Linked DNA regions of Arabidopsis thaliana. The protein of the gene in region 1 interacts with the protein of each later gene in a pairwise test. Each region holds a gene or a part of one and is shown on either strand. Other genes may lie near its edges.

Region 1 (6,238 bases):
CAAAACTAATGAATCTCGATCATTATTTTCTTCTATGTTAGAATACTGAAAAGACATTTAATTTGCAATACATTATCGCATAGTGTAATAAATGTTAAGTTCCACCTCTTAGCAAAAGACTGAGAGAGGAGGTCCAATGAACATCGTTGACAGGAAAAAAAGAGAAAAAAAAAACGTCTTAATTTTTTCTATACTTGATAAAATTTAAAAGACATTTAGATTATAATTATTAACATACTAAAAATGTGTTTCATAAATTGCAAAAAAAGCAAAGAATGGTTTGACTCATATTTATATGTAAGAAATAACCTTTGAGTTGAAAAGAATACACAAAATAACTTAGAACCAAATAGTACTTGTCGGTTACAGAAATTTTGGCAATATTTAGTCTATTTTAGCCTTTCTCTTTCTTCTTCCTTCTTTTATTTCTTTTTCATGTTCTTTACGAGACTTTAGCCATAGAGTTCTCTTTCTCTTTTCATCTTTAACACAATTCATCTTCTTCAGATTCACCATGTCATTTTCTTTTTCTATTTCTCTCTCCCTCTCCTAAAATAATCTTCACCACCTCTCATAAAATATATCATCATATCTCTTTATTTTTGTTCACCCACATGTTCTCTCTTTCTTTTTCCATAGAAATCTCTCTATCTCTCATTCTTTATTTTCTCTTTTTACCTGAATTCTCCGTCAATGTCGTTGTGATATAAGAGATTAAATTTGATTTTAAAACAAATATCTGATTTTAAAATGCATGTATTTTAAGAACAAAACATGTTATTAACACTAATATATTAATATTTGTCATGCTATCCAACAAAAACTCATGAAATAAATAAATATTTGTCATGTTATCCAATAAAAACCCATGTAATATTGTAATTTTTTAAATTTCGCAATCTATAAGAGAATTGCATGCTTTTTATAAATATTTCGTGCTATTTCTGAAAAACACATTATTTCAGAGAAACATATATATCGTGTATATATATTCTGTATGTATTTTAAAGAATTGCATGCTCTTTTGTAAATATATCATATTATTTTAGACAAATACATAAAAACTTTATAACTACAACCACCGATATTTTTGTAAAAACAAGAAAATCTAAGGATATTTTAGTATTTTATCCACCATAGAAAATGTTATTTACCTAAGTTTCCTGACACAAGGCTATTCTCTCAATTCTTTTCAATTCCATGGTTACTTTCTAATATTACCCTATATAATATTGATATTTTCAAACTTTTGATGTAAATATGAAATTTTCAATGTAGAAACTTAACACATGTCACTGGAGAGATGATGCTTTTTATATGTTTATTTTAAACAAATCCCACTTAAAATCTGTATACACTTTTTTGGGGTACCTTATGTAGATTATATCGAATTTCATGAATTTCTAACTTAGAAAGTTAATATACATTGATAATAAATAGTTTGGTCTATATTTTTTTTACTATCAATAATAATTTATAATTAGTTTAATAAAAATTGAAGTGCACTCACTCATGGTAATAGTTTTTAATTAGTTTTAGAATATATGACCAAGACCAAAAACATTTTGAAACTGAATTTAGTTTTGAATAGGTAGAATCTCGGTTTTAAAGAAAATGATGAAATTCATAATGGAAGGCGTTACATGCACACGCTTCAAGGCAATTCGATTCATGGCTAACATTTTTGATTCACTTTTATTTTACTTTTTGTCATCTGTTTATTCTGTTTCAATTAAGTGTCGTTTTAAGACTTTAATTTTGTTTCAGGATAAATTTTATTTTATATTTTCAATGCAAATATTTTTTTTTGTTAAAATTTCATGTCTTATCTATGTTTTTCTAACAGATTGACAAAAAAAAAATCTATGTTTTTCTAACGTATTAACTGATGAAAGAAATATAATTGTGTATTAATGAAAGATAGAAGTGAAACTTTAATTAAATTTTAATACTATATGTTAATTAACTTTAAACAGCATATAATGATAAATGGTGGGAGTATTACATTTGTTTCTAGGGAATACTGCATTATTATGCGGACAAATTTGATATGTAACTTTCAAAAACTTATACAATAATTTATATTTAGACTTCTCGTTTGTTTTCTATATAATAATTTCCAACAACTTTATCAAAAAAAATAAAAAAAAATTCCAACAATTTAATATCAGCATGTTTCTTCCATCTCCTATTCATATACCTTTGGCTTTTAAATTGTAAATTTCTTAATTTCCTTTTTCTTTAAATTTTAACTCTTAAAAGTTTTCCTTTATTTTCTTGGTTTGAAGCTATATGCCAAAAAGGGAAACGCATATATCCAGAGAAGAAAAACTCGAAACCCTTGTCTTTTCATGGATTTCAAGTATATTATTAATATGCAATTATTCGTATATTAATATATGCCCCTATGCGTATTTTATTTTTTAATGCGAAAGGAATGATATTCAGCTAAATTTTCGGTGTGTCTATTGCTTTTTTTTTCCCTTTCCTCGTTCAAAAAAAGTACTTGCAGAGTCACTCACTCTCAGTCTCAGCACATGAATTAATTTGAAGCTTCCCTAGAATTCTTTCACATCAATTAATACGACACCGTCTCGGGTGAAGAATCTCTCCTCTCTTGCCCTAAAGCGAGTTAGGGTTTAACACACAAAGCATACCCTTTAGATTTGTGTCTCTTAGCTCTGTTTTTGTCGGCTTGTGTAACCGATCAACTCAAGCTATTGGCTCCTCACCTCCTGAAATTTGACTTCTCCAATGGATCTCAAAGTTTCTCTTATATGAATTCTATCTTCACCCTCACAATATCTTTATATATATGAGCCACAAGAACAAGAAGAGTCAGTAGATGCGGCTGCCATGGACGGTGGTTACGATCAATCCGGAGGAGCTTCTAGATACTTTCACAACCTCTTCAGGCCTGAGCTTCATCACCAGCTTCAACCTCAGCCTCAACTTCACCCTTTGCCTCAGCCTCAGCCTCAACCTCAGCCTCAGCAGCAGAATTCAGATGATGAATCTGACTCCAACAAGGATCCGGGTTCCGACCCAGTTACCTCTGGTTCAACCGGGAAACGTCCACGTGGACGTCCTCCGGGATCCAAGAACAAGCCGAAGCCACCGGTGATAGTGACTAGAGATAGCCCCAACGTGCTTAGATCTCATGTTCTTGAAGTCTCATCTGGAGCCGACATAGTCGAGAGCGTTACCACTTACGCTCGCAGGAGAGGAAGAGGAGTCTCCATTCTCAGTGGTAACGGCACGGTGGCTAACGTCAGTCTCCGGCAGCCGGCAACGACAGCGGCTCATGGGGCAAATGGTGGAACCGGAGGTGTTGTGGCTCTACATGGAAGGTTTGAGATACTTTCCCTCACAGGTACGGTGTTGCCGCCCCCTGCGCCGCCAGGATCCGGTGGTCTTTCTATCTTTCTTTCCGGCGTTCAAGGTCAGGTGATTGGAGGAAACGTGGTGGCTCCGCTTGTGGCTTCGGGTCCAGTGATACTAATGGCTGCATCGTTCTCTAATGCAACTTTCGAAAGGCTTCCCCTTGAAGATGAAGGAGGAGAAGGTGGAGAGGGAGGAGAAGTTGGAGAGGGAGGAGGAGGAGAAGGTGGTCCACCGCCGGCCACGTCATCATCACCACCATCTGGAGCCGGTCAAGGACAGTTAAGAGGTAACATGAGTGGTTATGATCAGTTTGCCGGTGATCCTCATTTGCTTGGTTGGGGAGCCGCAGCCGCAGCCGCACCACCAAGACCAGCCTTTTAGAATTGAAAATTATGTCCGTAACATAGCTGTAACCAAATTTCATTTCTCAAAATTAAAAGAAAAAAAAAATCATCTTCATTGTTTGGGGATCGTTTGGTTTTTAATTTAGTTGATCATATATGAATATTTGAATTCGTCTTGAGATGATATACTTCTCCATCTGCATTTTCTCTTCTTTTTTAATCACTAGGGTTTCGTGCTGTCCCTATATATTATTTGTTATATGCTTGAGTTCACAATAAAAGTGCTATTAGAAGCCAATTTTTATATATCACTTAGTTACCTTTGTAATTGGATAACAAAAAAGTTATTGAGTACATTTTATAGAAATATTGAAATGGCTCATACTTGTATATATCATGGATGTGGTATGTGTAATCCCCTTTTTGAGTAGTTATCAAAGGTAATCACTCAATCTATGTTACTATGTCTATCAAGTAATCAACCAACAAATCAAACATCTTGTTCTTTTTAATTCATCTAGATACCATACATGAATCTTCGAGATTTTATGATTTGAAAATCTCTAGATTGAATATCTTGTTTACGCATGGAATCTCTGATTTAGTACATGTTTCACCCAACTGAGTTCTACATTGTATTTCGATGAGATCAATATGAATATTTCTTCGTTTTTATCAATTAATCACGAAAATAACGCGTTAAGAATCTACCAAAAAGTAAATAACGCTTTAGAAATTTTACGAAAAACTAAATAACTATTTAGAATTTTATGAGTTTGTTTTAAAGACAGCGGTTACTGTGATAATTGCATACTATATTTTTGTCGATTATAAGAAAAGATTCGCCCACCCGTTACAACGATATAAACATGATTTTTCGACGGTTACAAGTTAATGGCTTAAACACGAGAACATTACATGACCTGCCAAAACCAAAATATGAAAAATTTGTCCCAGAGTTTCATTTATCAGTTTCCTTTTAGAGGATTAGGAAAGTCTATAACAACACAGCCAAGTGGGGCTTTAAGTACAAAGATGTGTGAAAATGAGGAATGCATCAAGTCCCTAGGGAAACTATGTATGGACCGTATGAAAACGTATATTTAAAAAGAAAATCAAGTGAAAGGAAAAGCTTGTACATGACCAATGCATGTCCAAAGGAGATTTGTGGTGAAATATCTTCAATGAGCTTCTAAGAGAAGACAGGTGACATTTATGTATATAAGAAATGGAGTCTCATCATGTTTACTGTTATACAATGAGAATGAGAGATGGTTTAAAAACCTCTTATTTTCATAATTTTCATATATTTGACATTTTAGGGCTTCAACCATGTAAAGAGAATAAAGGGTAATGTACTTTGAGACCTTTTCGATACATGCACTGTGACTTTATCTTTTTAAGATATCCATGTGCTCATGTCAAGTGCCTTACATGCAGTTGAGCAACGATTGGGTTAAGAAATCTTGTTCATTGTGTGTTTTATACGAACGGCTGATAAGTAAACGTAAATGTGAAGGTTTCCCTATATATACGAATTATGATTGGATAGATATATAGATCCTTTAAGTAACATATGTTCTACACTATCTAGACTACTAACTATTTTACACCCAAAAAAGAAGAAGGTCTACACTATTGTGTGGGCCATAGAGCTTGAAGAACATATGTTACTTAAAGGATCATGGTTCGAACTACAACATTTTTAAGTATGATTTGTTATTGTAATTGTTTTACATGAAAATAATATCATACTTTTTCATAAATTCTGAAGATTGGTATGAATTCGACCAAGAATCTCACGGTTGTAAAAAGAGAGAACTTAAACAAAAATTGTATACTATAGTAGTATAGTCACATATTATTAACTATTACAATAGAATGTTTTGCTAATTTTTGTCTGATGTCAACAGAAAATAGATAAGCATGAATATCTAAAAATCACAAAACGTGTTAGATGTAAATATATAATATTGGGTCTAATGCAAATTGGAAGTTGCAATAATATGTTTAGTTTTTTTCTTCAAAAAAAATTTTCTTGACTTTCCTCATCATATATATATATATATATATGAATGCAATTGTGGATCACGAAAGCAACACGACACATCTAAGGCCTAATTTTCAGGCCATTTAACTCAACCCAAAAGCTTCCAGCCCATAAAACTTCAGTACTCTCCTACAATAGGAGCCATTTAACTTGATTGAACTATAAATTGTAAGTTTTCTTTATGTGAAACCTGAAACTGAAATAAACAGAGAAAACAGATGAAAACTTCATTTTCTAAAAGATATATACCAGACACTGTGATTGTTGGTTGCATACTTGAAGGTATAAGGAACAGCTTCCTTACTAACTTTATATGGAACATCAATATTCATTTCTCTACTTTAATATTCAGAACTCAAGTCACAGTCAAACTATCACATTTGCTATCGTTTGTTTTTAGTTCTGATACAAACGAATTCCTAAAAGAAAACAAAGAGACAAATAAAGAACTAGCTCACTT
Region 2 (6,176 bases), on another chromosome or scaffold:
AGTCTATCAGATTCTTCACTTCTGAATCAAGCTTCCAAAGGTTCTTCAAGAACTGCAACAACAAAAGCATCTATGAGTTAAAGGTTCTTTGTATGAAGCAATTGTTACTTGAACAAACATCACAAAAACCTTTTCTCTTTGTTGAAGTGGTTTCATTGGAAGCGACTGGTGCTTTTGTTGGCACATCAGGGAGATCCATTTTCTCGGGTTCTTCAGGCATGAGCTCTGTCGTAGGCACTTCAGGCATATCTTCAACAATCAGCTTCAAAACAAACAAACATTATATATCACATTTGACTCCACTCAAGAAGATTGTTTCACAAAGTAAATGGTGGTACTCGAAACATCAATAGGGCAGTACGGTCATAATGCTGGAAACAATTGTATCTGAGAAACAAGAGAATCCATTATGTAGCATACCAGACTTTCTAGGTTGTCGAATTCTGCTAAGATCTCTTCTTCATCTTCCGCTGATAGTTTCTCACCTAATATGGCACTCAGTTCCTAAAATCAAAGTGTTTAACAGTTAGATCAAGCAAGGGAATACTCATAACCATGAAGGAGAAAAACAAGGAGAAGCTCGGCAAATGTGACAAATGATTGTAACTATAAGCGAACCACACAAACAAAAAGGAACAACAAGATTCACTATTAACTCACATCCTGATAAGCCTTGGCCTCGGCAGTGTCATCCATCAGTTTTTGAACATCATCAAGGTTGACCTCGCTCTGAATCGCCTTAATTGCATTGTTACCTTGCTTTAAGCTCTCAAAGACTGCTTTTTGCTTGCTTGTAAGTTCGATATCTGCCAACTGAGTCATAAAGACAGGTTCAAAATATATTCGTTTATGTTTCTTTCAAAACATAAAATCAGCTATAAAAGAAAAGAAAAGTACTGTTTATATAGCACTAAGGTTATGTGATGGAAACAAGGAGATGATAAGAAGAAGGTCAAGCCAATTTACTTGTTGTTCGACATTGATGAGCCACTGATCTACTTGCTTCAACAACTCTTCTTGTGTCCGTTTTTTCTTCAATGCTAACAAAGCCCTGTCCTTTCGCTTCTCACGGATTAAGTCTCTTGCAGCTTGCTTTTCTGCTTCAATTACTTTCTCAAGCTAAAAAGAAAGGTTTAAGAGAAAGAAAGGTCAAAGCTCAGGATCATAGGAAAGAAAAAAAAAACATTTGCATTCCACTTTCTCAGCGATCAAACTCACTATCTACCAATAGTGGCGATGAAATAATTAAACCATCATTAGCTTGACATAAGAATCAACATTTGGATCCAAGACAGATTCTGAAGGCAACTTCTACATTTAACTGCTTCTTAAACCTCGAGAACCCATAGCCGAAATTCAGTAACCTTTACCCTTATTCATAACCATTAGTGAATCGAATCAAACTGCACTTTCTGTCTCAGACCAAATTCGAGCAAGAATAAACCCTAGAAATGCGAAATCACAAGGCGAAGGAATCAAGAACCTGTTGCTGATATTGACCAAGCTTGCGCCTTTGGGTTTTGAGAGAGAGAATCGCTCGATCAACCTCCGTGATCTTCGGTTTCTTCACGAATAAATTCCCCATCGAGTTTTGTCAAGGGTTCGGCGATTTCAAACCAAGTCCAAATCTTTTTGTTTTCACCTTTCCCAAGCAAAAAAGCTCCCGCGTTTTCTCAAATTCGCGTTTATAAAAAAGCGTTCCGAATCAAAACAACTGTCACAGTTCTAATTTTATCACACGCTCTGCAACAGCGCGTGGTCGGTGAACACATTAACATAAATACGCGAGAAGAGACGCGCCGATTCATTTTTCTTCAGAATCTCTCAATTCTCTTTTGTCGATTTCGCAGTAGAAGAGTCCTTTCGCCGTCTCCGAGAAACTCGTTGCAGCGTCACGACCAGGTTTCCTTCTCACTTTTACTAAATTTTGTAATTGCTCGGTTTTTTGTTTAGTGCGAGTTTACTCTGGTCTGAAGAGAACATTTTGGGTCTGCTTATTTACAGTTGGAGAAAATGTCTTCTAGAGGAAAAAGGAAAGACGAAGATGTCAGAGCATCAGATGACGAATCTGAAACCCACGCGCCGGCTAAGAAAGTCGCAAAGCCAGCAGACGATTCCGACCAGTCTGACGATATCGTCGTCTGCAACGTTAGTCTACACTTTCTGTCTATCTTTCAATTTCGTTATCTACTCTATTAGCAGTGAGCTTATGGGTTTCGGTCAAGTTTTAATTTTGTTGATGTGTTTTGCTCAAAATTAGGGTTTTAATCAAATTAGGGTTCATGTTGGTTATACATCAGATATCTAAGAATAGGAGAGTCTCTGTAAGGAATTGGAACGGGAAGATTTGGATTGACATTCGTGAGTTCTATGTCAAGGACGGAAAGACTTTGCCTGGCAAGAAAGGTAACTTTATTTTGTAATTTAAACCAATGCCCCTTGGCTCTCATAATTCATTATTTCTAGTAATGTGTTTCCTCATCTCTTAGTTTTATATTTCGTTACTGTTTTGCTTTGTTAAGTTTCTGCATTTAGTCAGGTTTATAGAATTGCATATCTTAGGGTTTTATAATAGGCAATTCTGCTTATTGAGACTGTTTATGGACTTGTAAGTATGAGCGGAGATGGTGCAGAGTGTTTGCTTTTGTACAACAACGTTTTGTTTATTTTGGTGCTATTGCTCCTTCATGTCTTTCTCTAGAGACAGCTATATTAGTTTATCTCTACATAACTAATCATGTTGACAAGATTATCTCTATGTTTGTTATACGTTGCAGGTATCTCTCTAAGCGTGGATCAGGTACTCACATCTCTTTCTATCTCTCTCCACTGTTTTATGTCTCCTAGAAGTGTTTCTGTTTTCTTGTTATTTGCTTATTACACAGCTTTTCCTTAATGCAGTGGAACACTCTTCGGAACCACGCAGAGGATATCGAGAAGGCCCTCTCTGACCTTTCTTAGGTTTTAAAACTTGTATCATTGGTTGTACGTCTATTAGAATATGGCTCAGTTGTTTTGGTTGTTTTTGTAGAACAACACCATGTTCTGCTAGTGTAAGCTGCTTCAAATTAGTTGGTGTATGGAATCTTTCACTTTTGGTTCAGACAAGCTTTGGTTGGTATTAAGAATATAATGATTGCTCTTTTATTTACTGCTGTAGTGCTGTTTTATTTGCAAATTAAGATACGTTGCAGGAATACAAGTATTCATTTGATAAGTTATAAACAAGATAGGTCTAAATGTTACATAGCTCTTGCCAAACTTCACTTGATCCGGACAAGGCCATAAGCAGACATTGTCTTTGAAGATGAACCCATCACAATAAATGTATCACTCTGTGTTGCTACTTTCATTGCTATAGTTGCTCTTTTCCAAAGAATATTTACCTTCCCAAAAAACTCCCCCGTTTTAAGTTTGGCCGCGCGTGTTCTCAAACTGTGCGCTTGTAAAATGGCGTTCCGAATCTGATATCACAGTTGTAATTCGGTGAACGCAGTAGATATATTACGCGAGAAAAGGAGAGAGGTGCTTTTTATTTAACTTGAGAATCTCAAGAGTCAATTTTTGCAGTAGAAGAGTGTTTTTTTTAGAGGTTAAGAAAATGTCTGAGAACGGAAAAAGGAAAGACGAGGATGTCAGAGCATCAGACGACCGCGACGAATCTGAGACCCACGCGCCGCCTAAGAAAGTGGCAAAGCCAGCGGACGAGATTGAGGACATCTTCATCTGCAATGTTAGTCTCTCTACTATTCATCTCTTTTTTGTCTGTAGCAGTTCGTATGAGTTTTAGGGTTTGGATCAAGTTGTGATATTTGTTTATGATGTTATGTTTTGTTTACATTCCAGTTAGATAAGAATCGGAGAGTCTTTGTGAGGAATTGCAATGGGAGGATTTGGATTGCCATTCGTCAGTTCTTTGTCAAGGACGGTATAACTTTACCTTGTAATAGCAAGCAAGGTAAATTTTTGTTTTTAACTACATATCTTCTTTTGACTGTCTCTCTTCTTCTCACAATTCCACATTTGCTAATACTCTGTATCCTCCTCTCTTTTCTTTTTTATGGTCAACAATGTATCCTCATCCCTTTGTTTTCATGTTTTGTTTCGTTAAGGTTCTGCATTTAGTTAGCAGATCTTAGGGACTTTTATTATATATCTAGTACTTCTGCGGTTTGGGACTGAGAGGAGGAGATGCGCAGAGTGTTTTCTTTTCATCAACAACGTCTTGGTTTTTGTCTCCTAGGGCCAGCTATATTAGTTTGCTTTCTTTGCATAATCATGTTGACAAGATTTTCGATGTCTCCTATATGTTGCAGGTATCTCTCTAAGCCTGGAACAGGTATTCACATCTCTCTTCCATTGTTTATGTCTTCCACACGTGCATATGTCCTGCTTATTACACGAGACCTTTTTCTTAATGCAGTGGAACGATCTTCGGAACCATGAGGAGGATATCGATAAGGCCCTCTCTGAGCTTTCTGAGGTTTAAAAGCTTGTGTAATCGGGTATTGGAAGGTGGCTTTGGTTGTTTTGGTTTGTTTTTCAGAACAACACCATGTTCTGCAAGTGTTAGCTGCTTCGAGTTAGTTCATGTGTTGAATCTATTATTTGATGTTGATTACTCTTTTATTTGATGTTGGATTTACAACTTGAGATACGTTGCAGGAATACAAGCATTCATTTTGATTAGTTATAAATAATATATATAGGTGATCTAAATGATAACATAGCTCTTGCCAAAGTTTACTTAAATGATCCGGACATTGTGCTAGAGAGCTGGGACACTGAGCGATCCCACGTCAAGAACTCTGTGCAATATCTGCAGCAAACCAATCACGAAATGACAAATTATTAAGGCTGACAATCATGAAATAATATGGATATTTAAGGCATTTTCAAGGCTGAAGGAAAGGGAAGAGCTTTATGCTATGCTCATACCTCACCAACCCTAGCATTGATTTTCAATGGAACAATGTCATCAGCTCTTGTTTCGCCTATATTTACAATTGCGGTCATAGCACCAGCCTCATGAGCCGCTCTGCAAAAGGTATATAGAAAGCTTCTTAGTAAGATGCAAACTCAAAACTGGATGATTATTCTCCTGCATCACCTGCAAAGGCGAAAAGCAGACATTGTCATTAAGGATGAACCCAACACGAGGAATGCATCGCTCTGTTTTGCAACTTCCATTGCTTGAGTAGCTCTTTCCTTCGGGATGTTGTCTCCAAAGAAAATTACCTTCAATTCAACGAGAACATAATAAGAAACAGAGCTAAACTGATTCGTCTCTATCTGATTAAGTCAATCTTACATCAGGCTTTAGGACTCCTTTGCACTTCTCACATACTGGTATATGAAAACCCTCTTCCCAAAACTTTTCGTCAATCTCGATATCACCATCAGGCCTTTGTTTCATGCCAAAGCTCTTCTCTGATCCTGGATCTCCATGATCAATACTTTCTATAGCTTCAGCCCACTACAGTTGAAACAAAAACGTTGTAACTTTGCGAGATGATACATTAATCCAGTTTATTCAGGTTATGGTATACACTGGCCTTAGGATTGATTGCTTTTAGCTGATCCTGAAACAAGTCTCGGGGAAAAGAGAAGCCGCACTCTAAGCACATAACAGTATATACTGTGCCATGTAATTCAAGTGGATCGCTCCCAGCACGATGATGCAACCTAACAACTTAGAGCTTAGAGTCAACATTCTTCACATCCAACAGAGATCCTACGGAAGAGGAACTGAAGGATATACCTGTCAACATTTTGTGTGATCATAAAATTTATTCGTCCAGCTTTTTCTAGTGATGCTAAAGCAGTATGAGCTGGTCCTGGTTGTGCTGCAGTGAACCTCCTCCATCCAGCGTAACTCCTCGCCCAATACCGCCTACGAGCTCGGCTTGATCGAGTAAACTCCTGTGAAGGAGGTTGTAGACAATAGATTAATACAGTTATACAATAGTAAAATGATCCAAGGTTTGCATTAAGAACTGTAAAGATTTCATAGATCTTGCCTTCAGATCACCTGATGGGTAATTGGTTTGAAACCAGAACTGTATGCTCCATTGGGACTGCACCAAATCATCAAATGGAACCACATGTAACCCATGAGACCATCAAAACGAGAATGCAAGGCATCTTCAGACAAGACTAATCGATCAAATGAATTA
Region 3 (5,796 bases), on another chromosome or scaffold:
AGTGAGAGAGATTAACATACGTTTTGCAGTTGGTGCTGGTGCTGATTTTGTAAGGAATATTGACTCCACATGCCTTAGGAATTCCAGCTGCACGGCCAGCGTTGAGACCAGAGCCTAAGGCTCTAGCGGCACCTTGAATGCAATTGCAAGCTTGCTGACGGTCTGGGGTCGTCTTGGCTATGCTGTTGAGGTTTTTAACGCCGGAGCAACACGCTGGGGGAATGACACCACCTTGGAGCACGTAGCCAATGCACGCTGCCAAGTTGCTGTTAACTGAGCCACAGCTTAGCGCAGCGTTCGATGTGATTGGACCGGCCACAATCATGCAGGCCAAGAGCAAGCATGCCAACTTCATCACTCCAGCCATATTGATCTCTTAGGTAGTGTTTTATGTTCGTTTGCAATAGGAGATGTGTGTAGTGATGGATGATGAAGAGAGTTTGGGGAGTGAGTGTTATATAGAGTAGGTACGTATATGTTATGTGGTGTGAATGCGATAGATTATAGAGGGAAGGAGTAGTTGGTGGTTGTACTCATTTAATTTAGAGGTTCCTAATTCCTAACTATGTATAGGACCACTCATCTCTTTTGTTTGACATGTTAATTCAACTTTATCGTATGGAAAGTTATAATTCGACCAAAATACATTTTATTAACGTATTTGTAGTGTGACAGTGCCTACGTCCTTCTTTGCATTTTCATTGTTTGTTTTTGTAATTGTTTCAAAATTATAGGTGTGTAGATAGGAACATAGTTAGTTTACTTCTTTTTAAAAAAAATTAAAATCTCGTTTATCTAACATGAAAACTGCTTTACAAAAAGACCTGATGAAAAGTGATTATTTTACCAAAAAAATACATTTTACTAACGTACTCTCATGTTTTTTTCTGAATTTTTATAGTTTTGTTTATTTATGTATTTCGAAGACTTAAGTCTAGTTGAGAAATAGTTATTTTACAAACTATAGATGTGCTATATATTCTAATCGTCTAGTTTATCTTAACAACATATTATTCATATATATATTTGCATGTGTTTATCTTTTACATGACTCTAATAAGAATCATGCTATCCATTGTCAATAATATTTTCGACACGTGTACGTGTATAAGTTAACTTTGTTTTTTTTACAAAAGTCATTTAAATAAAACTGTTGTTAAGAGTTAGTACTAAGAAATCATTCTATCTTTATTTCGGTTATCTATTTTATTTCCTGTTATAAAATTATTTGAACGAATTCGTTTCTCTTCGGTATCATGCAAAGGGTAATTAATTTATTTTAAAAACTGTGTGTTGATGAGAGATTAACAATAAGATTATGATTGTTTGGATATAATGATAAAGATTTAAAACTTAGACATTTTTATTGATCTTAATTATAATAGCAAAAAAAAAGTAAATAACTTACATTTGGAAAGTCATGTTTTCGAATATACTGATCAACTAGTATTAGTAGATATCTGACTTTTATCATTATATAGTCCAAAAACTAGTGTGGACTTTGGTTTTGAGATTCCCGATATCAAACAAAAACAAAATGTTGTTTACTTGATACTTCCCAACTGTAATGCAAGTTAATCATTTTGGTCATATCGATTAAACTAAAGTAAGTGTTAGTATAGATATAGAGTATAGAATAACTTAAACTTCAAGTCTGAAATTCAAAGAACGTTGTTTGCGAACATAGTACAGACGATCACATAATAGAAACGCCACGATAAAAAAAGACAGGAAATTGAAAAGAGTACAGCCATTCGAACATCTTTATTTAATATTATCTCATCGATTATATAATATTCGAAACATCCGCTAGTAGCTTCATTTGACCGTCGCTCATCACCTCACGCTGCATTCACATACAAATTAACATAACAACGTTAATATAAGTTTCCAATATTTAACAAAATAAACTAAAAAATTTATAACATATACTTATAAGAGTGAAAAGATCACATACGTGTTGCAGTTGGTGCTGGCGCTGATTTTGTAAGGAATATTGACTTTGCATGCGCTAGGAAGTCCAGCTGCACGGGCAGTGTTGAGACCGGGACCAACGGCTTTAGCGGCAGATTGAAGGCAACGGCAAGCTTGCTGACGGTCTGGGGTTGTACTGGCCATGTTTTTAAGGTTAGTAACGCCGTTGCAGCACCCTTGGGTAAGTGGAGCACCTCGGGTCAAGTAGGCAATGCACCCTGCCAGGTTGCCGTTGACGGTGCCACAACTCATAAGCGCGTTCGCTGTGATTGGACCGGCCACAATCATGCAAGCCAAGACCATGCATGCCAACTTCATCACTCCAGCCATATTGATCTCTTAGTTAGTGTTTTACGTTGGTTTGCAAGAGGAGATGTGATGGATGATGAAGAGTGTTAGGGGAGTGAGAGTTTATATAGAGTAGGAAAGTACATCTTATGTAATGTGAATGCAATACCTAAATACTACTATGAGGGAAGGAGTAGTTGGTCGCTGTACTCATTTAATGTAGACCCATACGAATTTTAAAATTGGAATGTCACTAAAATATCGTCAATTTAACTAAAAAAGGCTGTTTTAGATAATAACGAGTGTGCAGACAATAATCTTTGGATTCTAAATTTAACGAAGAAGATAAGTCTATCTGTGACGTCTGGAAATCCCAATCCGACGGTGTGAATCTTTAACGAAAGCCTGAAACCCCAACGTGACTTTATGTGGACTACTACTAGCTTGAACAAACATTTGGAGATGTTAAAAAATTTCGAAGTAGAGATTTATCGTTTATGAATATCTTTAATTGTAAGATGAAAACAACGTTGTATAAGTTTTTTTTATCACTAATACTAGTACTTATCATTGTATTAGTTTTTTTTAATAATAAATTTCAGTGGATATACACAATATTATGTCGGTTTGTCCTGCCCTCCACAGGCCACGCCATAGATTGTATGTAGATGGTTCGTCATTATGTGAAAATTTGACTGATACACATAATAAATACTGAATGCATGACACATGGGTAGGATGGGGTCATTGTCGGTTTCGGCCTGAAATGTACAATTATTGGCTTTTGCTTTGCAAAACCATCACTCCATCGTCCCATAACTACTATAGTACTATTTCTAGTCTTATTTTGGTAAAACTAGGTGTTGTGTGTTTTTTATTGGTATGATGAGTCACTAGACTTTTCTTTGGTAAAATTTTACTTTATCTGTAGTTGGAGATCGAGAGTCAATGGTTGAGATGATCGTCGAACAATATAAAAATCATAAAGATTGTAGAAAGATTTAAAATATTAACATATATTAGTTTTAGTAATATTTATATATATTATTTACATTTATTTTTATTTTAGATTAGGAAATCTCATAATATATATATATATATATATATAAGAGAGAATATATCTTATAAAGTTATTTTTATGAGAATCTATTATAATTCTTTATTCTCATCCAACTTATCAAGTTATGTAGTAAAGGTGTTTTATAAGAACTAAAAAGTGTCAAGAAACACAATTAAACATGGAACGATCGACCATATTTTCTTGTAATAACAGACTTTTACAAATACATTTTTTATTTTATTTTCAACTGGTGTTTTTCCGGTCCGGTGATGTGTTTAAATGTCGTCTATTTGGCTAAAGAACACGTCGTCAAAATAAGCTTTTAAAAGTTTCATTCATGTTTAATCATTTTCTGTTTAAGAAGAACAGAAAAATCGTATTTACTGTTTAAAATTTTTGTCGGTGTCTGAAAGGCTACATGATTATATACTTTTCCCTTATTTTCGGTAAAAACTTGATAATTAGGCACCGAAATGCCACATGCAACATATTATATGTACACCGAACACGTGTGAGCATAAAGTACATTGGTATAAATACATTACGATATAGCTACTCATACTTATTAAGGACCTCTCTATACGTGTAAGAAATTGCAGTATATTTCCTGAAACATGGTGAAAAATGAATGCCTCAAGTCTGAAATGAAAATGACAGTGATGTAGACGTGGAAAAGTATTAAGAGTGATTTTTTATCAATTAACTTTGATTCACAAAACTTATGATTAAGTTTCAAACGTAAAATGTAAAATGTAAAATGCTACACAATTTATGATGGATATGAAGAACAGTTGTCAAAGACTCAAAGTAGCTTATTTAAACTACTAAAACCACATATGATTAAATGGGGTTGGGTTTGGGCCGAATCGGGCTTGTTGCTTGTTCTATACACTATTCAAAGCCATTTGGATAAAACATCCATCTTCGTCACAACTGTTTGTTAAACATCCATTTGGTGGTGTGTCACGTCCTTCCATCTGATCAACAATGGGTTTGTAGTCTTCTGGCAGACCCCCGAGAATGTAATCAACTTGATCTTCATGGTCAATGATTTTGCCAATTAATGCCAACTGATCAAATCGATTGATAAAGCCTTGAACGTACTCGTCGATGGTGCGGGTGTCTTTCTTCCATTGTTTGATTTGGTGTTGGAGCTGTTTGATATGGCCACGACTCGGTTTGGCATAGGTACCAGCAAGAGTGGCCCAAACATCAGCAGAGGTAGCGGCGCGGGACACCGTTGGTTGGACGGTGAGAGAGAGAGTGCCGATGAGAGCACTGAAGATCAATTGATCTTGTCTACTCCAGGCTTCATACTCAGGATTCACAGAGGCAACGTCGTTGACGGTAATCTCACGAGCTGGAGCAGCTTTTGTCGCATCAAGGTATTGAGTGAGACCGTAGCCGTGAAGGAGAGCGTGGACTTGGCGGCTCCACATTATGTAATTGGAGGCCGTAAGTTTTGTCACATTCGACATGTTCATGTGAACAATGGAGGTGTTGTTGAGGTTGACGGTTTCAGAAGAAACATTCGACATGGTTGAAGTTTGAAAAACAGAGGAATAAAAAAATCAACGGGGGAGAAGAAGAAAGAAAGGAGAGAGGCGGCTGTTTTTAGGTTTTTTATTTTTAGGTATCGATGATGCTCTGATACCATATAAAGAATATAGAATTGGATGATTTGTATTGAGATGATTTACATTGTTTATATACAGACTAGATGTTCTAGAGACTTCTAATTACAGAATATATAGTTTACATAAGTAGAATTGTGATTGATCTTGATTGATCCTTGATAGATTCGTCACAACTGTTCTCACTACATACTTCTGCGTGTTAGAAAAAGCTAAGCTCAACCAATTAAATGGCTGAGTCTTTTCACAAAATCTTAGTTAACAGTTCGGACACAAATCTATCTTCGGTATTTTTAGTTTGCCAAAAAAAAAAAGTTTCCTATATCATTAACAATCCGTTAAAAATTGTCGATTGATAATTTTAACATTTCTAGCTAAACTAGTCAATTCGTATTTTGTAGTAAACCAATCTCCAGATCATTGCTACTCACATCATCATCGTCTTGTACTTCAGCATGGACGGTTTCGTCTTCCGAATGGCTTTTGTCGGCTGCAGCGGAGGTAAGTTCCTCTGCCCGCTTCACTTGATGAGACCAGTCCGTACGGATTAACGTATAAAGCATCATTACCAAACACGTCATCTGCGCAGATAACAGTCCAAACCATAGCCCACGAAACCCAACCTTAAACCCAAACGTGGTCGTAACTGCCACAGGCAAGCCCACAATGTAGAATGCGCATAGGTTAACGCGTGCTCCATCTTTAGGCCTAGCCGTCCCAGTCAAGACTCCGCAAGCAGCCGTCTGTGGCGAGTTTCCAATCTCGCAAAGCCCCAAGATCGGAAGCGCAGCCGAAATAAGCCCGAGAATCTCCGGTTCGTCCGTGAACATCTTTCCCCAA
Region 4 (6,112 bases), on another chromosome or scaffold:
GTTCCATTGGTCATAGACATTTCATTCAAGATATTCAGTTCATCCAAAGAAAATGTATTCTGTGAACGAGGAACGCAATCAAGCATGTCATCTGAACATCTCTGAGAGATTTCATCCAGATCTTCTTGTCTACTGGAATTTGATAATCTTGCGCTATCAGCAACTGCTCTTGGAGTTACGCTGCTCTTTGGCGTCCATGACTCCAGAATTTTCTCAAGACTTTCAGCTACTCTTTCAAGTCTTAAGTTTACATTTATTCCCTTCAAGTCACATCTATCAGCGATTGTGCATATTCGAGAGTGCTCTTCTACATGTACAACTGGTATTTCAACTTCACAGATACGACAAATCATAGAATTATCGTATGTCACACATTGATGGTCCGCCCAGAAACCCCACAAAGCACTTCTGTCTGCAGATGCAGGCTGGCCTGACGGGCTATGCAAGTTTTCAGCGTTTTCATCACCATAAACTTTTGGTTGGATTTTGCTCTCCCCCTTAGCCTTGGGAGTGTTATTAAGACTACGGTTTTTCTCGGCAGCAGATGGAAGCTTCTTCCAAGATGACATCCGAAAATTGCTCGAAGTTGAATCAGTACTTCTAGCAGTATTTACTTCCACTCCATCAGCTCCGCTGTTCGAGTTCTGATCATCTTGTTTACCAGCTAGATTTTGCTTTTCATTTATCTTTTGGATTTCCTTCTCTCGAAGAAGGTCCTGTTGTCGCGAGATTTCCACCATCTGTTCAGGATAAACTCCAAGATCACTTAGCTGGTGCATTCCCAGAATGTGTTCTTCAACATAACCACTCTCTTTACGAAATTGCACAAGCCTATTGCAACGAGTAAGAATGAAAAGAAGACGATTATGAGCCTGTTTCAGTCCTCCCATGGGTAGCTCCTGACGTTTATCATCAAGCTTCTGAACAATACCTTCACATTTCAACCAAAACTCACTAGCTGGCATGGTTGCACATTGCCGAGCCTCAACTAACAAATCCTCTAGACCCACTCTTAATTCTTTGTTAGATTCTGGTGTGCTCTCTAGAGTTGTCACTAAATAGCCAGCAAAAACTCCTAAATCAGCATCAACATCTTCCTTTTGCTTATCAAACTTCGTTCTGATCGCCGCCATAATCTCCTGTAAAACGTTCCACAGATTGCATCAACCAAATGAGCAGAACTTATCAGAGGTGAGAAGAAGCATCAACCAACACTAACCTCCATGTGACCAACTGCGCGAGATCTCCACACGGGAAAAGGTCGCACACCTTTAGAATTAAGTTCATGAGAGAAGCTCTTAATGTCATGAGCTTTCTTCTTCCTTCCACTTGTGACACGCAATATCGCCTGAAAACGTGGAGATTGTGTTTCCTTGGCAAGACCTACATGAGTACTCTGCATTCACAAGAACAACAAAAAAAACGAATCAGCAATATAAAATTTTCCAAGAATTTGAAAAACAAACATAGAAGAAGACATTCACCTCTACCCCTGGATTTGAATTTGCAGGCACTCGTTGAGATTTTGATTGACTCCACTGAACTTTTTTCCCTAAAAGACAAAACAACAAACACCTCCTGATCATTAAGATCCTCTGAATCATCATCATCTAAGTTGAATTTTCGAATTCATAAATCCTAAATCGAATCAACGAGAAATCTACCTTGATCGGGTTGATGTGGAGGAATCGGCCATCTGGCACGAGCATCAGCACGAGCATCAACAACACCAACCCTCGGTTTCTCCTTGGCGACGTCTTTATCATCTTGACCCGGAGATATCAAAGGCGTGGCAGATGAAAATCTCAAAGGAGACGGCGCAGGAGACGATTTCGTTCTGATATGATTCAAACCTAAGGAAGAAGGAGCAAGAATTTCCGGCGAATCGTGACTCATCGGACCTTCCCCAGCTAATTCCGTAGTAACCTCGTCCGTCTTCGCTTGTTCATCTTCTCCTTCCTTATCCGAATGGCGGAAAGGAATCGCAGGGATCTTCTTCAGAAGCTTCGCATTGGTGGAAGTCGGAGTAGATATGGTGGTCGGTTGTGGATCCCGATCATTCTCAGGCGACGGTTCCGTCGTAGACATTTGTTATTAATAGAAAAATTTGTGGAGAATTATTTGAATTTTCATATTTACACTCTTTTAATTTTTGTTTGTTTGTTTGTTTTGTGATTTTATCAAAACATAACGATTACAGAGAAGCGGTTGCGAGAGAGAGAGAGAGAGACTGAGGTTTTCGCGGGAAGTGGGGGACTCCGTTTTTACTACTTGATGCAAAAATTGGCTCATTCGCCATTTTTTTTGTTCTTCTTGCAGATAAATAAATTTGACTATTTACATCTAAATTTTATGGTAATTTGTTATCTTTAATTCAATATGACTATAGTTATAGTATGATACTTCTATTTGATGTTAACTTAATATCTTTAAATTATAAAGATTTGCTGTCAACAAAAAATAATTCTAAATTAGTTCCAAATTCAAAAGTCAGACAGAGATTTTATTATGGTTGTGATTTGTGATTATTCGTTGTATTCTTATATCCATAGTGCTAAAGTTATAATTTCTGACTTTATTATTCTTACAACACCTTAAGTTATTAATGAATGGTGATATTTTATGATTTGTATAGTTCTTAAAGAATAATCATGTGGGAGAGTGTCCATATCGAAACTACGTGCTTCCAACAAATGCATGTCTTCCCCATTTTCTAGAAATAACAAAGAACTTAATTTTTTTTTGTTTAATTTTAAAAAATAGCCGTTCGTGATGTTTTCTCTGGGTTGACTAAAAAACACGGTACCAAGATATTTTTGGTTAAAACTTCTAAAAAATATTAATTTGTTTTTTATAATAACACGTTTATTCATTACAAAAATTTATGTAATTAAATCAAACATGGTTTGTATTTTTTAATAAAATGAATTGTTTTCCAAGTAATTGGGTCAAAACACAAAAGAAAAATACAGAGCAAATATTTTTGTAGTTATTGGGCTGAATATTGTTTGGGCCCAACAAGTCCATATAAATTAGGGTTTTCATATTAAATCAACCGTCTCTTAGGTTAAATCATTCGACTCCTTCCTTCCTTGCAGCAAAAAGCAATCCGCCGTCGAGCTTCGTTCGTCTCTCAGGTTCTCTTCACTTGATCCAAGTTTTAATATTTTTCATGTTTACATGAGTTTATCGGATCATTTGTTAATGTGATGGATTGGTTGGTGTGTTTGTGATTGTTTTCAGAAGAAGCTGCAAATATGGCGACAGCGTATCAACCAATGAAACCAGGGAAGGCTGGTTTGGAAGAGCCACTCGAGCAGATTCACAAGATCAGAATTACTCTCTCCTCCAAGAATGTCAAGAACTTGGAAAAAGGTCTTTCTTTTTTATCCTTTTATTTTGATTATCTTATCATTTCGCTTCAGCAATTTAGTTTTGAGCTGCTTTCAAAACCGTAAAGAATGTTTGAGGATTCAATGTTTTCCTAGTTTTAGTGAATTTTGAAGGTTTAGTTTTTTCAGTAGAAGATGATAGATTTATTGACTTCGATTTGCTTCAGTGATGATTCGAATGGTTTGAGAGTGGACATTTTGATACTGATTTATTGTTATTGTTCTGTTTCTACAAAATGATATGTAGTGTGTACTGATTTGGTTCGTGGAGCTAAGGACAAGAGACTGAGAGTTAAGGGTCCAGTCAGAATGCCCACCAAGGTTCTCAAGATCACTACCCGTAAAGCTCCTTGTGGTGAAGGTATGATGATTATGCTCATCTCATCTTTTATATTGCCTTCAGAATCACTAGAGCTTGTTGTTGGAACCACTCCCTTAGTTCATTTGCTCTATTAAACCTAGGATTTAGGTCTTAGAATTTGTGATTGTGCTCAATACTGTTTTATACTCTGTCACTGCAAGTGTCTTCACATTTGCTGAAACTCTCTTAACTATTGGTATTGTAAACAGGAACCAACACATGGGACAGATTCGAGCTTAGGGTACACAAGCGAGTTATAGATCTTTTCAGCTCTCCTGATGTGGTCAAGCAGATCACCTCCATCACCATTGAACCTGGTGTTGAAGTTGAGGTCACCATCGCTGACTCGTAGATCAACCCTTCTGTGGCTTTGGTATCTCTTTTCAAATTCTCTTAAGAAACAATCTTCTTTTCCCGTAACGACATTCCTTTTGAGTTAAAAAAAAAACAAATGTTTTGTTGTAGTGAAACCCAAGTTCTTATGTTTTCTTAATTTAATAGATTTTGAATTTTTTAATTAGAAGTTCGTCCTTTATTCTTAACTTGAGATCTTTTGACCCTCTCGATGACATAACTCTGTATGAAGTTACCAACTTGCTATCTCATTTCAAATTGAGAGATCTATTACGAGAAAGATTAAAGTTTAATCAGCCATAAATTGAAAAGCTAAGTATCACGAACATAATACTTTATCGTTGAACATAATACAACTCTTTCATCGTTAAAATAACACAACTACTATGTTTTCGAGTACAATTGTGAAGAGTCTAGTGATCTTTGGTCTCACTTTCATGAACCATCTCTTCAGCATCCTCAAACCTCTGATCATTGATTTGGAGCTGCAGTGTGAATACAAAAGGCAGATGAAACCACGCTCAATTTTTTAAAAACAAAAAAAGAGGAAAAATTGAAAGCAGAGTTTTGTAACTTTGTATTACCTCAAGCATAGGCTGATTAAGACCTTCATCTCCATTGGAATGACCAATTACACTAGTCGGACTCTGAGATATTTGCCACTCTGCATCATCATCTGTTGCAAACACATAGAAAACCATCACATTTCATTCGTACCATTCAAGATGAATACATTAACACACTCTTTAATTCGGTCTAAGTCATATGAAAACATTAATTACCTCCTCCACGAACATCCATCTGATCAGCACTAAACACCCAATTATGTCCGCTTTCTTCTTCTTCTTCTGAAAGATGCAATGAAACCAAAGATATAAATGGCTAGGTAACCAAAAAATGCAATTAGTGATACTATTAAACCAGTAATTATATGTTTTACCTTGAACTGGTTCAGGATTCAGCTCAGCACACTCGCAGAATACATCAAACAGCGTCTCCACTTTCATATGACAAGACAAAACGATATATCAGCTTAATAATATCCAAGACTCTTATATAATGAAACAGCCGATTCTAATAGCTCTAAAGATTGCTACATAACAACTCACACTGGGTAGAGTCAGAAGGAACAAGCCTCATCTCTCTGATCTTTGATAAGTCCAAAACTTCAGTGGATTCTGAATCAGACTCATCATCCTCATCTTCTTCAACTTCAATCTTCAAAACATTAAACCAAAAACTTAGCAAAATGAGAACAGAAAAGACTTAATCACACCTCTCAAATCCAATTAAAACGTGTAAGCCACTTTCTCAAATTCCAGCAAGCACTTGCAACAAGCAACATTACAGTACAGGCCTAAGAACTAATCACAATCAACGAGAACAACACTAATTCCCTTTTAAGCTACCAAGTCTAACAAAACCCAGAAAAATTGCAAGAGTTGAATACCTGAGTATATATACAAGGAGATGAATAAGCCTCAGGATCTCTAGAAACAGCGTGAAGCGATATTGATAAGAAATCAACTGCGTATCCTTTAGCCATGTCTACATCGCTCAGCCAAATTAATTTCCTGAAATCAAATCACAAAATTAAGCTAAGACATTTATCTCAATCGAGAAGGACTAGATTTTGAGTTAATTTTTGTACCTGGAAGTGATGTAGAGAGTTCCGGGAGACTCAATGGGACGGTTTCCGAGAGCGACGGCGACGGAAGTCTGAACGTGCATAAGTTCCTCGCCGTTAGATTCATCCAGTACCGGTTTCCCGGAGCCATCTTCGGTTCTGAGCGTGAAATCTCTTAGACCAGCCACCATTTTTTCCGATCACAAAGAAAGAATCGTCAAAAAAAACAGAGATTTTCAGGCAGGGTTTTTCTTAGGGTTTCTCAGAGGAATGATTTGTTACGTTTACTGATGAAGAACACTACAAGGCTTTTGACAAAATGGGCTTCGTTAAAAAAGCCCATACTACATTAAAACATAAGCCCACTAAACTATTGAG

What was found.
Region 2: the proteins of SOB3 (region 1) and KIWI interact in a two-hybrid assay, tested with the Arabidopsis thaliana proteins (one large-scale study listed by BioGRID).
Region 3: the proteins of SOB3 (region 1) and LTP2 interact in a two-hybrid assay, tested with the Arabidopsis thaliana proteins (one large-scale study listed by BioGRID).
Region 4: the proteins of SOB3 (region 1) and AT5G62300 interact in a two-hybrid assay, tested with the Arabidopsis thaliana proteins (one large-scale study listed by BioGRID).

What each region holds. Positions count from the first base shown.
Region 1 is NC_003070.9:28,702,676-28,708,913, forward strand, and holds SOB3 (Putative AT-hook DNA-binding family protein), read left to right. Parts: upstream 1-2,287; 5' UTR 2,288-2,856; coding exon 2,857-3,765; 3' UTR 3,766-4,016; downstream 4,017-6,238. Other genes in the region: AT1G76510 (ARID/BRIGHT DNA-binding domain-containing protein), read right to left, coding at 6,006-6,117. UniProt on the Arabidopsis thaliana protein: Transcription factor that specifically binds AT-rich DNA sequences related to the nuclear matrix attachment regions (MARs). Acts redundantly with AHL18, AHL22 and AHL27 in the regulation of flowering and regulation of the hypocotyl elongation.
Region 2 is NC_003076.8:2,872,206-2,878,381, reverse strand, and holds KIWI (ssDNA-binding transcriptional regulator), read left to right. Parts: upstream 1-1,772; 5' UTR 1,773-1,902; intron 1,903-2,004; 5' UTR 2,005-2,013; coding exon 2,014-2,148; intron 2,149-2,260; coding exon of another isoform or gene 2,261-2,300; coding exon 2,301-2,406; coding exon of another isoform or gene 2,407-2,423; exon of another isoform or gene 2,424-2,777; coding exon 2,778-2,896; 3' UTR 2,897-2,901; coding exon of another isoform or gene 2,902-2,961; 3' UTR 2,962-3,194; downstream 3,195-6,176. Other genes in the region: VPS20.2 (vacuolar protein sorting-associated protein 20.2), read right to left, coding at 27-52, 130-262, 421-504, 661-813, 967-1,119, 1,484-1,585; AT5G09240 (ssDNA-binding transcriptional regulator), read left to right, coding at 3,602-3,733, 3,847-3,958, 4,317-4,489; SRT2 (sirtuin 2), read right to left, coding at 4,769-4,819, 4,939-5,038, 5,111-5,238, 5,312-5,476, 5,556-5,685, 5,762-5,922, 6,032-6,077. UniProt on the Arabidopsis thaliana protein: General coactivator that functions cooperatively with TAFs and mediates functional interactions between upstream activators and the general transcriptional machinery. Binds single-stranded DNA.
Region 3 is NC_003071.7:16,124,989-16,130,784, reverse strand, and holds LTP2 (lipid transfer protein 2), read right to left. Parts: upstream 2,610-5,796; 5' UTR 2,305-2,609; coding exon 1,958-2,304; intron 1,847-1,957; coding exon 1,837-1,846; 3' UTR 1,386-1,836; downstream 1-1,385. Other genes in the region: LP1 (lipid transfer protein 1), read right to left, coding at 21-367; AT2G38510 (MATE efflux family protein), read right to left, coding at 5,340-5,796. UniProt on the Arabidopsis thaliana protein: Plant non-specific lipid-transfer proteins transfer phospholipids as well as galactolipids across membranes. May play a role in wax or cutin deposition in the cell walls of expanding epidermal cells and certain secretory tissues.
Region 4 is NC_003076.8:25,019,381-25,025,492, reverse strand, and holds AT5G62300 (Ribosomal protein S10p/S20e family protein), read left to right. Parts: upstream 1-2,928; 5' UTR 2,929-3,137; intron 3,138-3,243; 5' UTR 3,244-3,257; coding exon 3,258-3,375; intron 3,376-3,639; coding exon 3,640-3,753; intron 3,754-3,962; coding exon 3,963-4,105; 3' UTR 4,106-4,293; downstream 4,294-6,112. Other genes in the region: IRE (AGC (cAMP-dependent, cGMP-dependent and protein kinase C) kinase family protein), read right to left, coding at 1-1,139, 1,220-1,396, 1,485-1,552, 1,665-2,088; AT5G62290 (nucleotide-sensitive chloride conductance regulator (ICln) family protein), read right to left, coding at 4,521-4,592, 4,692-4,783, 4,890-4,955, 5,048-5,107, 5,217-5,325, 5,558-5,681, 5,759-5,925.